Linked DNA regions of Styela clava. The protein of the gene in region 1 purifies or fractionates together with the protein of each later gene. This does not show direct contact. Links are inferred from orthologs where the notes say so. Each region holds a gene or a part of one and is shown on either strand. Other genes may lie near its edges. The genes, in order: RISC-loading complex subunit tarbp2-like and protein argonaute-2-like.

Evidence for each region.
Region 2: the proteins of RISC-loading complex subunit tarbp2-like (region 1) and protein argonaute-2-like purify together in Drosophila melanogaster (affinity purification with western blotting; 4 studies listed by BioGRID, with this or other methods). This does not show direct contact. The link is inferred for Styela clava from reciprocal best matches to the Drosophila melanogaster genes loqs and AGO1.

The regions. Positions count from the first base shown.
Region 1 is NC_135259.1:11,926,271-11,934,483, reverse strand, and holds the start of RISC-loading complex subunit tarbp2-like, read left to right. Parts: upstream 1-5,100; 5' UTR 5,101-5,386; coding exon 5,387-5,391; intron 5,392-5,749; coding exon 5,750-5,873; intron 5,874-6,366; coding exon 6,367-6,568; intron 6,569-7,056; coding exon 7,057-7,151; intron 7,152-7,696; coding exon 7,697-7,814; intron 7,815-8,141; coding exon 8,142-8,213. Other genes in the region: uncharacterized protein LOC120338264, read left to right, coding at 289-549, 1,017-1,557, 1,932-2,183.
Region 2 is NC_135255.1:14,041,409-14,048,600, forward strand, and holds the start of protein argonaute-2-like, read left to right. Parts: upstream 1-3,976; 5' UTR 3,977-4,064; coding exon 4,065-4,188; intron 4,189-4,564; coding exon 4,565-4,760; intron 4,761-5,192; coding exon 5,193-5,313; intron 5,314-6,557; coding exon 6,558-6,739; intron 6,740-7,124; coding exon 7,125-7,192. Other genes in the region: uncharacterized protein LOC120331088, read right to left, coding at 757-907, 1,225-1,309, 1,466-1,565.

The DNA.
Region 1 (8,213 bases):
TATTTTACTTAGTCACGTGTCACGAAATTAGCCTTGTATTTGTTTCCGGAACTCATTTACAATAAAATGGATGCATTGAGAGTGAATAATATATCTTGTATTATTTGTGCTAAATCTTAATGTTATTTTTATGGTTTCAAAACCAAAAATCCATAAATATTTATTGTTAAACCATAAAGAACCCAAATTTCAATAAGCAAATTTTGCACTATATATATTATGAGAAAAGTGCAGTTCATTCAACTACCACTTTCTATGAAGCAAACAAGTAGTTTTTGTGATTTATAGGACCACTTACTTGGAGATCACTGATTCAAAAAGGAGTTACGGCAAAGTATGTGCAAACAGTCTTCCAGAAGAATTCATTAGCTATTCAAACGAGTTGAATGTTCATTTAGTGAGTGAAAAGGGCAAAGGACGCTTCATTTTTAATTACACAGAAGTATCTTCCCAAAAATCAGAACCTTTGAGATTGGAGCTTCCAAGCAATGAAGCAACTTGGTCAGCAGCAAAAATTTTGTGTGAATCAAATAAAAAGTCGTTATGCAGGTAAGATTGGATGTATCTACAATATAACTTCAAATCAAATTAAAAAAGTTTCATAGGTATAGATTATGAAACACAAGCTATTTTTTAAAGGTCCAAACGGCTTTCTGGAATGATGACAAACATTTGAAGTTTTCTGCATCGCATGCAAAAAAACATGCCCGTTTGTTATGTATTGCCATTAAATTAAAGTGAACTTATATACATAGAGGCGATACGCTTGCATTAGGCACGTATCATCTGTTACTTACACTTTTAAGGGAGTTTTGTATTGACTATTTACTTTTAAGAGCTCATATTTTTAGTCTTTCCGTTCAAAAATCGTAGCTCAGGTATTTAGGCCTATTTTTTTTTCGCGTCTCCCTTCTGAAAAGCTATTTTTTATTCTACTCGGCACTGCATATGTAGACTACATTGCATATACTTTCAGTATTCGTGAAAAAATAAACTACTGACTGATTTATTTTCAGGAAAAGGGATCTGTGTCCTTATGGCATGCCATTCGGAGGAGAAGCCTCGAATACGACTTGGGTGGCTGTTTCTGATGAATACAACGATTGGATGAAACTGGGCCCTTATGACGTTTGTAAATCATACGTGAAAACCTACGGTCCGCCAGAATGGGGTGAAAAAGTCATAGAGGACTGTGAACCGTTGTATTATGATGGCGAAACGGACGAATGTCTCCTTAGTCGCAAAGTTGTATTTTGTTGCGATCGACCAGAGGGTGAATCAGAGAAAGATTTGCTCGAATCGGTTCGTGTGAATGTCGGGTATGCAAAATGGCAGGATAATCTTGTTTACTTTTTTCAAAGAGGCAACGTTTGGGAATCTCCAGAATACCTGGCTAGAGTGGGTGATGGATATGATTACTATCACGACTGGGATTACTATGGTGAAAGAGAAAAGGTGTACCCTTATAAGCTTATCAGTGAAAATACAAACGCAAGACCAGGCACAGTCGATTACTTCATTATGTCAGCCAAATACGAAGAAACCTATTTTAACCAGGTTGGTATTTTTATCAATTACGTAGTTGGTGCAAAATTGGTAGTCGCATATGAAATGAATAGTAATTAGGCGCCATCCACTGCAGGAGAATATTGCAGCTAGGCCCAGGTCTTGTTTCGCTCGTACAATAGGCGCTAAATCCGCGTTTCAGACAAGCTTCGAGGCTTGGAACAATATTGTATTAACAAGCATCATCATACAAAAACCTTTCCTGATAATATATATATATATATATATATATATATATATATATATATTATCATTTTTTTACTTAGACAATAGTATATAACCGTATTAAATGGCATCTATTTAGGAATTTATTTTTATTTTTTATATGAATTTATTTATTCACGTCTTTGTTACTACAAAAATAGGTTATTTATTTCTGCTGGAAAGAGGGATCAATACACAGCGAAATAAGAAGGATTTACAAAATGAGTATGAATAGTTGTGAAGCAGAAGACGACTGGAAATTCGACTTCTTTTTGTACGCAGGCCGCAATAAATCAGAGAAGACACCGACTGCTTTACACATAGGCCTAACAAACTCAACGACTGGCTCCTTTTGCTGTGAAAATAATGCACACAATTTTACCATTTTTGTTATTTCTTCCTCAAATGCTTAAAACTGGAATATTTTTGATATTATTTACTTTACGATTGAAAAAACGTTTTAGGCCATACTTCTGCAGAATGATTATACAAATAATTAATTATTCGATTATCATATCAATTCTGAAGTGTAATAAAAATTACATTATACCTCTGTTGGAGTTTTGTTTTCAAATACTCGGGTATGATCATTGACGCAATATAGGCTACATGAATTTAGAACTATTGTGTAGCCGTCATCATCGCCTATTAGTATGTCAAAACCATGTATATCATATGCATGGTCAAAACAGGCTTGATTTATTTATCTTGTCCACAGACCGTGGATGATTGTCATGTCGACAATAGGATTTGCGTTCCGACGGAAAGTGGAATGATTTTTTAGGAGGCGCGTTCACTACAAACAAGGTTCTGTAAGTACCAAATTAAGTCAAAGATTAAGAAAAATGAGGTAGTCAAATGAGCATGTTTGTAATTTATATAGGATCCGGGAACTATCATCTAATTTTTACCACTTTTGTAGAGTCTAAACTAGGGCAAAATTCATTAACCGTACTGGGTTCAGACGTGCAAACCCATGTAGGGTAAGCAGAGGTGCGATACGATAGCATGTGTCTATTCCTCAATCCTCAGCAAAAGAGGGTAGCATCACGTTCAACTCACAGCGTTTCTGGTAAAAATTCAAGTGCGAAAATACGATTGAGAATTTCTATAGGTACCGTACCGTATTATATATACCGGTATATATTTGTCTGCACTTAGCTGAAATACAAATCATGCAATCGTATTCTATTATAAATTATTTTAACCAAAATCGGAATTCAAATTTTATGTGAATACGCTCGCCACCGCACCTCTAATTACTCTGCGTGGGTTTGCAGGTTCGAATCCCATGCAGGGATGGTTATGTGCGAGAGGATCGCTGGACTCCTCGCGTCGTTGGGTGGTTCACGTAACCGCTGTTCGGTTACGGCTTCCTCCACCACCAAGTCCATGCTTCCGAAAACAAACAGTATAACTATTCCCATACCCGACTTGGAATGGTAACCGGACGAGAGGCCGTGTTTCGCCATATGAATAAGCCGTCTTATCGGCTTTCCTCTCCCCGGGATAAATATGTAAATCCTATCCTAATTATATAAAACTAATAAATTCCTCAAACCTTTCTCTCAAGCAGTCTGGTCCTAAAGAGTGCCAGGGAACGACCATCGATAGTACGACCACAGAGAATGATAGAATAGGATTTACATATTTATCCCGGGGAAGAGAAAAGCCGATAAGACGGCTTAACCATATGGCGAACCACGGCCTCTCGTCCGGTTACCATTTCATGTCGGGTATTGGATTAGTTAGTTATTTGTTTTTGGAAGCATGGACTTGATGGTGGAGGAAGCCGTAACCGACCAGCGGTTACGTGAACCACCCTACGGCGGCGAGAAGTCCAGCAATCCTCTCGCACATGACCATCCCATGGGATTCGAACCTGCGAACCCACGCAGACATAACTCATAATGTTGACTCTCCGTGGTACCACGGGCGTTAAGCACACAGAGAGAGAGAGAGAGAGAGAGAGTTTATTTCATTTTGTCAAACCAAGTAAACAATTTATGCACACATGAGCAAATATTTAAAAAAATAGTTTTCGGTATATGACTGGGGGGCAACGATACGACCTTTGGGGGTCATCAGAGTCAGTTGCCACCCAATTATATTAAATAAGCATAAAAATAACAGATTCGTGTCAATATATCAATGTCTCTCACGATTTATAGTATATATGTACAATATTTACATGAATTTACTATTTTCAATTATGGAAGCATTCTTTTAAATAGTGGGATTTTGCACAAATTGAAATTATATTGCAAAAAATAAAATGATCGAAACGAAAAAAAGTGGGAAAGCAGTTCAGACAAGCTACCCCTTATTTGGGTAACTTGTTTTATTGAATGAATTTAAGTTAAACATATCAAGTGGGATTTTGAACAAGCAAATAGGGGTAGAGTTCTATTCTACATACACTAGTGCAATGTAATCAGAAGCATGGGTTGAGTCATCAAAACAAATTAGAATTTGGTTTAAATAACAAAAAAATGCATTTCAAAAATGCAATACATTGTAAAGTTTGTATAAACAAACAATCGATACTAAAATATCAAGAAAGTTAATGCAAAAACAAAACAGTTGACTTAATGTAGGAATAAATAAGCGTATAGAATAAAAAACAGCTGAAAGAAAAAACCCGTTACAAATGAAATAGATATTATTACTTTATTATTACGATGACTGCTATTTTATTTTGGTTGACGAAATAATAAATCTCTCTCTCTGTATATATATATTATAGAACAGTGGGGGACACAAGTGTGGGGTCTTATGTAGTTTCGTACCTATCATACTTCTGGTGGGCGTATAGTGACAATATTTGCACGTGTCAATCCTAACCCCCACATGCCCATGCCATCCAAAAATTACGTCTCTACGACGTCACAGTGACGTGAAAGAGCCCTTCAAACTATACGAACTGTCAGCCAAGACGCGCTCGTCTGCACATCTGAAATCGAAGGGCTACTTCTCTCGTTTTTTCGTCTCGACGATCCCAATATGAGAGAGATCGCTGACTTTAGTAAGTTCTTTATCGTCGAAGCCGATGCCATTTCGGGCGATCGTACGTTTATTTGACAAGCTCTATGACAGTATGACGTGTTGTGATGTTGCAGGGACGTGATTTTTGGATGGTATAGTCAGGTGGGGTTTAGGATTGATATGTCAAAAAAATGTGATGCTACGCCCACTAGAAGTACTGAAGTATGTTAGGTATGAAACTACACGAGACCTCAAGTGTGGAGACTTGAGAGTCTTGGCCGCCGATCCATGGAAGTTTGATAACTAGACTATTGGTGAAGATTGGATTTGTTTGTTAGTTTTCGAATAACAGATTTGACATGGGTTACATACGGTAATCGTGCTTGAGCCACTGTCTGACTGTGGTTGTTGTTTTGCTGAAGCCCCTACGTTTCCCCAATTGCATATAGGTTAATTTTGCGATTCTGGATGAAATAATAATAGTATACAGATATAGTGACGCATTTATAATTAATTCTGCAGATAAAAAGTTAGGTATTTGACTCAGGCGAGTTGACAGTAAATTGGATATTTTCTAGTATAAGTACTCTCGGAGTTTTTGCTTTAAGTTCAAGAGTATTTATAAAAGAAAATGAGGTAAGTTAACTAAATTTCTGAATTTTGTAGTTTGCCAAGTAATTTTGCTAGTTCTTGCCAACTTGAGCAATGCAATAATAATACATTGTTGTTGTTTTTTCTTTAAGTAAAATTGCAGCGTGGAGATATTCAATGCAAAAAATTAGGCTTCGGTTTAAGGTAAGGATTTATGTGCATAAAAATCCGGCATTGTTCAGTTATCGGCAAAAAATATTAAAACATGATTATCGATTTAGTTGTCCACCGATTTGAAGTTTCCCAAATTTAACTTTATTGTATTCTATCTGTAACAAACTTATCATTTGTGTTATATAGACTACTGATTAAAATTTTTTACATTCTGTTTTCTGAATCATAGCCTTCACTCGCCAACTATTGTGCCGCAGAACAACATCACTGCAACTACGAGATCACCTACCAGTCCGACATCAGCAACAGGTTCTGCAGCATCACCTTCCAAGACTCCGATTTCATCTCTTCAGGTTTATTTGTTACTTCCATGATTGGATGGATTCTGTTACTGTTTAATATGAATTTAATCATATATGACTACCACTTTTTGAAATGTTTTGAACTATGTTATTTACAAACTGAAACAAATGTTTTCTATCTATTGGATATGCAATCTCAAGATAATAACATGTGAACTGACAAATTTGGAACTTTTTTCCTAAAATTCTCCTCTGTTAGAAATATCACATCTTCCTCATACTGCCATAGCAGGCTTATTTAAATGGAGAACAACTGTCTATGTTACCATTTCATGTTGAGTTTATTTGTTTTAGACCCAGTATATTGTTTGAAGCCAATTATGGTTGATGACTTTTAATATGCGTAATTTTTTGTTGGCACCTTTTTCCTCATTTTTAGTTATTGTCATTAAGTGCTAATGAATTTTATTTAGCTTATAAATCTGTACCAAAAGTCTCAGCCTGTATTTCATGAAGATTCTAACTATTGCCATTCATATAACAGGAAATATGTCAGAGAATGGGGAAGACACCTCAATACGATCTGACAGCCATGGAGGGACGGGCTCACCAACCCCAATTTGTGTATCGATGCACAGTTGGTGATATCATGAAGACTGGACAGGGTGGTAGTAAGAAAGCAGCTAAACATGCAGCTGCGGAAGCTGTACTTAATTCACTGAAAAATGGTGGGGATGCTGATGAAGGTAAAGTTTCGTTTATGAATCATCCGTTATGAGTTATTATTTCATGAATGTAGAAATTAAGAAATATTAAAAAGACAGCCGATTTATAGTTCAAATTCAAGATTATATAAGCCTAGCTGTTGACGCATCGGACTAAGCGATAATAACATGCCATTTCTGATTACCCTGTATGGGCTTGAATCCTGTGGAAGACAATTATGTGTGAGAGGATTGTTGGATTCTTCTCTTGCATAGGATGGTTGTTAAGGGCTTTCCACCACCATCAAATCCATGTATCCGAAACAATTATCAAATTAATTATGTACATACCAGACATGGGCTGGTAACCAGACTAGAAGCCATGGTTCCATGTGATTGAGTTGTTTTAATGGCTCTTCCACAGCACAGATATGAAAATCTTATAAAATAACTGAGGCTTGTATATGTCATGTAACATAATCAAGGTACCTCGAATGATTGAAGAATTTTGGTTTGTTTTATTTTTACAGCAGAAGATGAATCGCAGAATCAACAAGAAGTTCCTGAACAGAAGATTGAAGAACTATCTTCACAGGAGAGTACTAACCCTGTGGGAACATTACAAGTAAGAGAGTAAATTTCACAGAAAGGGTCTTAAGATTATGGGTCTCGACCCAAGTCTTTGCAAATCTTAAAGTTCGAGTTTCAAGCTGGGCCGAGTCACAAGAGTAGGTTTTATAGCAACATGGATAACTCAATTTTTTGTTTCTATTTTCGCAAATTATTCTTGAGTCTCAAGTCAAGTCTCTCGGGTGGTTTGTTGAGTTTTGGGGAAGTGACTCTAGTCTTCGAAAGGGGTGACTTGGAGAATCTCTAACCCTGGTATATGATAATTCTAACATCATTTTGTTCCTTTCTCCCGCCCACAAAGCTCTAAGCATACAATCAATTATTGCCCTTACTTGGTATCTCACTCTGCTCTTTGCATCTTTTTTTCTATTCTGTTCTGTTTTTGAAGGCACCTGTGACTTCACCTTTGGTACAACTGTATAAAAGTAACTCTGAAATTGTTTACGAAATACTGGTAAATAATATTTGTGTAATAAATAGTTAGTATTTGTTGTTTTTTAACGTAAACAAAATAGCATCATAATATGAATAATATTTCAGGAATTGGTTGTGGCTAGAGGGTGGAGGCTTCCAGTATACTCAATGTACGCAGAGTCTGGTCCTGCTCACAAAAAAGAATTCATCATGTGTTGTACAGTGGAATCATTCAAAGAATATGGTGGGTATAACATGTGCATGCTAGATAACACATTAATAGTTACTGAATACTAGGAAATAAAAATGGGAAATTGAATTTATAAATTGGGTCGAAATTGATTTGCATATTGCTGGACTGCACAAGTAGGCTTGTACAAAGAGTATTCATAGTGATCAACCATGTTTGTCCAGACTATGTGTTTTTCGAAAAAAATGATCATTTTAAAAAGAAGACCCGACCATGGATAGTTTCAAACGTAGTAGTATGTTTTGGGTTCATGATGTTGAACGAGATAAATGTAAAAGCATATCAAGTGTTGTATGATTTTCACTGTCTTCCGTATTTTAGGCAGTGGAACAGCGAAGAAGCATGCAAAAAGGGCAGCAGCGACAAAAATGTATGACAAGATAATGGCATTAC
Region 2 (7,192 bases), on another chromosome or scaffold:
AGCACATGGGAAATGTCAGAGGACTCGCGATAAGTGAAGCATTGCGAAGGGCTGACACTATATTATTGACAATAACCATCCCTCAGAACTTCAAAACAACGTGTATCAGACCCATAACGATGGGTTCTCAATCCAGAATACCTTGAGTTATATGTTATAACCACAACAATATCTAATTTTTCACAAGTCGCAGTATACTGTTTCAATTTGCATGATATATACTTCATGAAATTAACAAGAATCCTCTGTCTAATTATTCGTGAAGTCGGCTTTTATCGTGTATGAAGAGATTTAGCTAAGGAGTTCTCATATGTCCACTTGCCACTTCAATACGCGCGTTTGTCATTGCTTTAAGTTTAAAGTATAAACCATTCAAGACTGAGACTTGCATTCGCATAGCTATTGCACAATGAAGTGGGATGTAAATGAGCTGAAAACAGTTTCATGTACTATCGGAGGGAAGACTCTATAATGATGTTTACCACACTGGCGCTGATTTATAAAACATCAGGCCTGAATCTTTTACTCTGTCGAAAATTGTAACGACTGAAACCGTAACTACTATTCATATTTGCATTTTAGATCAGCAATTCTTATATTTCATGAATTTGACATAAGCTCTAAGATACTTGTCAGTCCGAATATTTTAAATAAATCTTTCGTATATTTCAATTGAAATAAACTCAATTTTTATGCTCACTTCATCAATTCTAAATCCTAAATAGTGTTGTATAAATATGAAAAGGCCTGACGATGTCAATATTGCTGAACGTAATCAATGGACGAATAACGATTGCTTATCTTAGCGCTGTAAGTTTTATTTTCCTGATGCGGTTCGCACTTTTCATCTTTCGATATTGCATTCGTAGAATTGTCTTGTTTTCTTTTCTCAAGTTTTGTTTGGGACCTAAAAATGTCAAAAAATACAAAATTAAAGGCCCTGGTAGCGATTTCATGATTACCCGCTGACCGATATCGATAAAAATTTTCATGTTTTAATAGATTGCCCATTTCCAGTCAGCACGTTATTTTGGATAAAACCCCGACAAACAACATCATAAATGCAAGATCGGTTGTACTAAATTTATTTTAACTTTTCACCTTCTGGCGATAAACGCCAGAAGGTTTTTGTTTACAAAATAGATGACATCTACTTGAGTTCACAGCAGTATATTCTGCTTCACAAACAAGTTCTGTGCTTCAAAAGTGGAGGGTTAATTTTACCTATTGAAAAGAGTGGTAGTTGGTGTGGCAGTATCCCATCGTAAATCTTCAGCAACGCTTGCTTTTTTTAGCTTTTCGTATGGATCTGTAATAGAAAAGTAACTAAAACAACAATTATCCATGTTTTAAATGATCTGTAGCGCTTATTGCGGTTTGAATAACATTTATGCGGTTAAATATTAGTTAGATGTCGCATTATTGAGCTTAAGTATGAGGTTTAATTATAGGTATTGATAAAAACCTGGTGCTTCATCGGGGATCGGGTCACTTTTGTTGCGCTGTTCCGCTTTCCTATCGATCACCGCTTGCTTTCGGCGAGCCTCCCAATGAAGGGCAGACATTTTCTAATTCTAGTTTTATGACAATTAATAACAAAAAAAGTTTGTAATAGTTTTGCATTGAAATAATACGTTATTCTTACGTCATAATGATAATATCAAGTGAACAAGATTGAAGAATGAATCAACAACCTGGCGTTTACTTACAGTTAGTTTGCGGTATTGCTTCATTTTTTCCTTACCATCGGCATTTGATTGAATTACTTCAGAAACACAATTATCAGAAGTTAATGTAAATTATATGAATAAAACTAGGCAAATGAAACGCAGGGTGGCTCCGGAAATGAAAAGGTTAACCAGCAAGAAGAACAACAACATTTTAACAAAACGATACACAGTTACACCTTTTTTCAAAATAAAATTAGGTAACGCAATGGTGAGGTGTATTTTTCTTTGGATAAAAATTCGCGGAAATTTACCAGGTTTGGAATATTTGGTGGCGAGCACGAACCGCATCCGCGACGCACGCGCGTCTTGTGGTGTTTCTTTTTTCCTCGCACGGTTCATAGATAATAAAGAAACAAAGAAATTCATCCTTTGTGTTCGGACGCTTTGTCAGCTATCATTCGTTTCAATCGACGTCACCAACGGTCGAGCCAACCCTCAGGGCTGGGCTTCCCGATTTCGATTTTCTTGTTGTAGCGACCGTGCGTTGTCTTACGTATCTTGAGGATTCATAGTTTCGATTTTGTGCGTGCTGTAAATAACATTGTATATAACAGTAATCAAGTATATATTTCGAACAGCTTCCGTTAAACTGTAACAGTAAGGTACCGGTACCGGTACTGTCTGAGTGTACCGCACGGTGTTACTTTGACAGGTTGTCTAGTTGTTGTAAATCTAAAATGGTAAAACGAAACTCTAAAACTGGAGAAACAAGATATATCGCCCAGTAAAAAGAAAAATATATAAACAAAATAAAAAACAAAATAAAATTTCGCCACGCCATATTACAGTATTAATAATTTTGTAAGGATCGCCAAATTCTGAAATTGGATATAACAATTTTCTGGCAGTCTAGATTTTAGTTCAGAAGTTGAAAGTGATAATAACCTGACATTATCTACGGAGTTATCTTTTGCTGACTAATTATTATTTCAGTCAGTTTTTATGTACCATATTATTGTAACTGTATTCTGGTATTAGACCAGTTACTGAGTTACCAATATGAAGCTGTAAATAGTTTTGAGAAAATGTAGGCTAGTATGAAATAGATTGATGAATGTCTGAATGTGGTTTTGGTAATTAGGATAAATACAATTGCCCGAAAATGCAACTTCTGAACTTTAAAATTTTTCTTTTAAATCAGGCCTCAGTCTAGTCCCACATGTCTGGCTGGCTTACTAATTCAGTACGGCACAGCTCTCCGATACCAAGGATAACTTCCACATTAAAAGACGTCAATTATAACTGCGATTGCAAACCTCTTCTCTACCAGACAGTCTCGGCCTCCATACCGACAACAAACGGAAAAGAAGCTCAATCAAAAAATGTCACTATTGGATTTTTTGGAAAAAAGAATCTGATTTACCATAGGTTAAAAAATAATTTTACAGTAGCATTCAACAGTTTTTAGCAAAAAAGCAATTTCGGTCATGTGACAGCCACGTCGTGATTAATTTAGATTATCATTGAGACAAGCACGGTGTGATCTGCCGTCGTGCCATACGCCCTCATTTCAGAGACAAATTGAGCGTTTGTTTTATTGAATGTTGGGACATCTTGGAATTGGAGAACTGTGACCTACTGTAATTCTATAATTAAAATTTGCTATAAACTGATATCTGGATATATTCAATTCAAACAGGCAATCTGATTCTGTAATTCAAATGAAGTCAAAAAGCAGAGATGTGGTATAATTCGTTATTTGGTTTCAGAATTATTCAATGGCCATGGCTTCATCGTAAATGTCTCAGGCTGCTCTTATCATCATCTCATATTTGCATATTATGTCATTCCAAATCTTCATCTGATCTGACTTCGTCATCCAAAAATAACGTTACTATACAGACAGTCGTCCAATACACGCAGACGATCACCCGGAATCGAGCAAGCTATGTCGTATACACAGCCAAATTCTCTTTCTTTTTCTCATTGTAACTATCCCGATATGCGACAGGCCGCTGGGCGGCTGGCGTTAGTGAGATCATTATCATAGACGCAGACCATTTGAGCGATCTTTGGCAAGCTCTGACTTGATCATGACATAGTGATGTATTTCTTGGTTGGCGTAATCAGATGAGCGTTAGGAATAACATATGCAAAAATGGTTATGCCACTAAACTAAATTAGACCTATCATAGTTCTTAGTCCGATATAACGTTGATAAGAGAATGCATTAATATAATTTACTTATACTAACTTTGGTACAGTAATTGTATCTGATTATACTTCTGGTACAAATACAGAACTGAATTGTGTTTTACAGCAAATTTTATATTATTGGAATATTTTAAATTTTACCTCAAAAAAGCAACTGCTCAAGCAGTAAAAGACTGCAAAATGTTCACTCCTCAGCAGTCATTTAACCCACAATACCAACCCACGACAGCAGGAACACAGCAACAGCCCCCTACACCAGTTGCTGCTGCTCCAACTGCAGTTACCCCTCCAGTCAGACCTGCAGGTAAACAGTTTCATTTCAAATATTATTCAATACCTTATGCTTACATTTTTCAGATTTGTCTTATCTGATGTGTCCTAATTTAGGTTATGTTTGACTGAAATATTATAGCAGTTTAATGTACATTTATAAAATTAACTGGATACTTAATTTTATTTATTCTCGCAGTTATAAGAAGTCGAATATGGTTTATTTATTTTGTCTGAATTAAAATGTTTTTGGTGTCCCATGTGATCATATTTTCTAATAAAATTGTTTTCAATTTACTCCTAAAAATAAAAAAAATTGGAAATATATACAAACGTTCAGATTGTGTTTCGTCTTTCTTTTTTCTAGTTATGTCTTTATTTTATATTCAAAATAACGCTTATTTTTGTAGTTGGGGATCCAAGGTTTCCGATTGTTGGTACGTCAAAAGCCATAGACTTCCAAGCACCAGCCCGTCCAAATGTGGGTCAGATTGGAAAACCAATCTGGCTGAAAGCAAATTATTTTAAAGTATCCATTCCTAATGGAGATATTCATCATTATGACATTGATATCCATCCAGACAAATGCCCAAGGAGAGTAAACAGGTAGTTAATTGAGCGTATATTTTTTGATTTTCTTATTTTAGTGAAGATAGAAGAGTGCCAATTCTAGCATTAAATTTTGGTATTTAAACTTCTGTTGTTGTTGTTTTTTAATTAAAACAATTTTTCAACTCAACCTTACTCAGTTTTACATGTTTTTTTTTTTAATCATAATTGAAGCTATAAGAAATTTCGAATATTTGCTTTATTCTTCTGTTATACTGATCAGTATTCAGAATTCCTCTTAACGATTTGCTTGTTACGGTAATTTTTCTTTGTTATAGATTTGAGGTTTTACAGAAACTCAATATTAGATGAAAATATAAGTATTTTATATAAGTCCATAGTATTGATAGTTGATATTATATTATCGAGTTTCCGTAAAACCTCAAATGTTTTATTGAGTATTCTTCATTATGCATTTTCAACTTTCAGAGAAATTATTGAAACAATGGTGGGAAATTATCGTACTGCAATCTTCCAAGACAGAAATCCAGTGTTTGATGGCCGTAAAAACCTCTACACAGCACAGCCACTGCCTATTGATAATCAGAAGGTTCATACATTTTTTTTTTCATTCAAAATATATGTATAGAGTGAATATGAAACCACTTTCATAAGTTCGAAATTCTTTGAATATTTAAATTATTTATTTGTTGGGACATTGAAATTTCAACAATATGTGTTGGGTTTCTGGGTTCTAGTTAGTATTATGATGTTTTCAAAGATTATGGACAATGGAGAGTTGTATTTAAATACCCATTTTATCGTATAATATTATAAAATTACTATGTTTTTGAATCTGAAGTATTTACACGATGGTAAACAATTGAAACATTGCCCTTTTTCACGAGCATTGCGTCAGAATTCGAATGAGGAAGTGTCTGCTTTTGTGTTTATAGCATATGCTGAATGTGAATGTTTACTCCAGTATCGGTTCTCTAACATTTTTTTAGAAAAGCCCCTTGTATTTATCAATGGTGAAAATGCCAGCACATAAGCTTGTCTTTTATATATTGTTTTTTCAAGAATTTTCGTATTCTATGATATCATCAACTAAAATATCTTGGGAATCGGGTCAAAATAAACCTAAAACATTGTCTGATTTTGTTTTCTCTTATTTGGTTGTGTGTCTATGACTAAGTAGTCATAGCGCATGGGGTGTGATTTTATTGACATTTTAGAAATTAAAATACAGACCGAATATTAATAATTACTTGTGTGCTAGTCGGTAATGGTTTGGGCCCTGATATTTAGGGTGTTGTTGCTGTTGTTACCACCATATTTATAATTATTATATTTGTTGGGAAACTTGCAATATCAAACAATCTATCGTAATTTAATTCAGTCAAAATATTTCGTCATGTGTCTTAAATCTGAATAGATTATTATCTATTCTATATTACTAGTTACATAACTGCTCAAAAAATGATTTTATCTTTACCGAAAATCAAACGAATAAAATATGACTTAATAATTTTTAAGATTAGTTAGATTACCTGAAAATTTTTAGCATTGGCACATAACTGTATTGTAATTTTTACTCTAAAGTACTTGACCACACCAATTCTACATGACTTCTGCTGATCAATATTATCATTATCAATCATATTCATGGGATTAAAAGTGCTGATGTGATCATGTGACTGACAGTGCATAGATCTTCATTGTTAGATCCTATATAAATGAATATTGTCAATGAATCTTTATTGATCATCAAGTTTGAACTATTATTACCTATTGTAATATACAAGGGTGACTTTGAAAGCATCTAATATTTCTTTTACTTTTTGTTTATAGCTTGAAGTGGAGGTGACATTACCTGGGGAAGGCAAAGATCGTACTTTTCGGGTTGCAATAAAATGGTGCGCTCGTGTATCTCTCTATTCATTGAAATTGGCATTGGATGGAAAAATGCATGGGATTCCATTTGAAACTGTGCAGGCGTTAGACGTTGTCATGCGTCATTTACCTTCCATGAAGTGAGTGTACTTGTTCTTTTATTTGTGCGCATACATCCATAGCAACATGAAATTGTCTATGGTTGTTTGGGATGGATATTATTAAAACTTGAGGTTTTCATTTTATTTGTCTACTCTGTCTAACTAAATGTTTTATTATGTTCCAATTTGTTAATATTTAACAATTGTGCATACCAACTGTCTGCCTGCTTTTAAAGTAGTTTTGACAGATTTTCAAAAATTAGTCATGTAAATCATGTTTTTGAACGTTTCAGTTTTTAGCCATTTCTCATGACAATTCATTATTCACCTCTTTGGCCTCAAAAGAAAGTGCAAATTGCTATCATTCATTCTACCTTTATATTTCCGTATAAGATAATTTAATAAATACTGCATTTTTTTCTAGATATACACCTGTCGGTCGATCATTCTTTTCATCTCCAGAAACATCAACTCCATCTCTTGGACATGGAA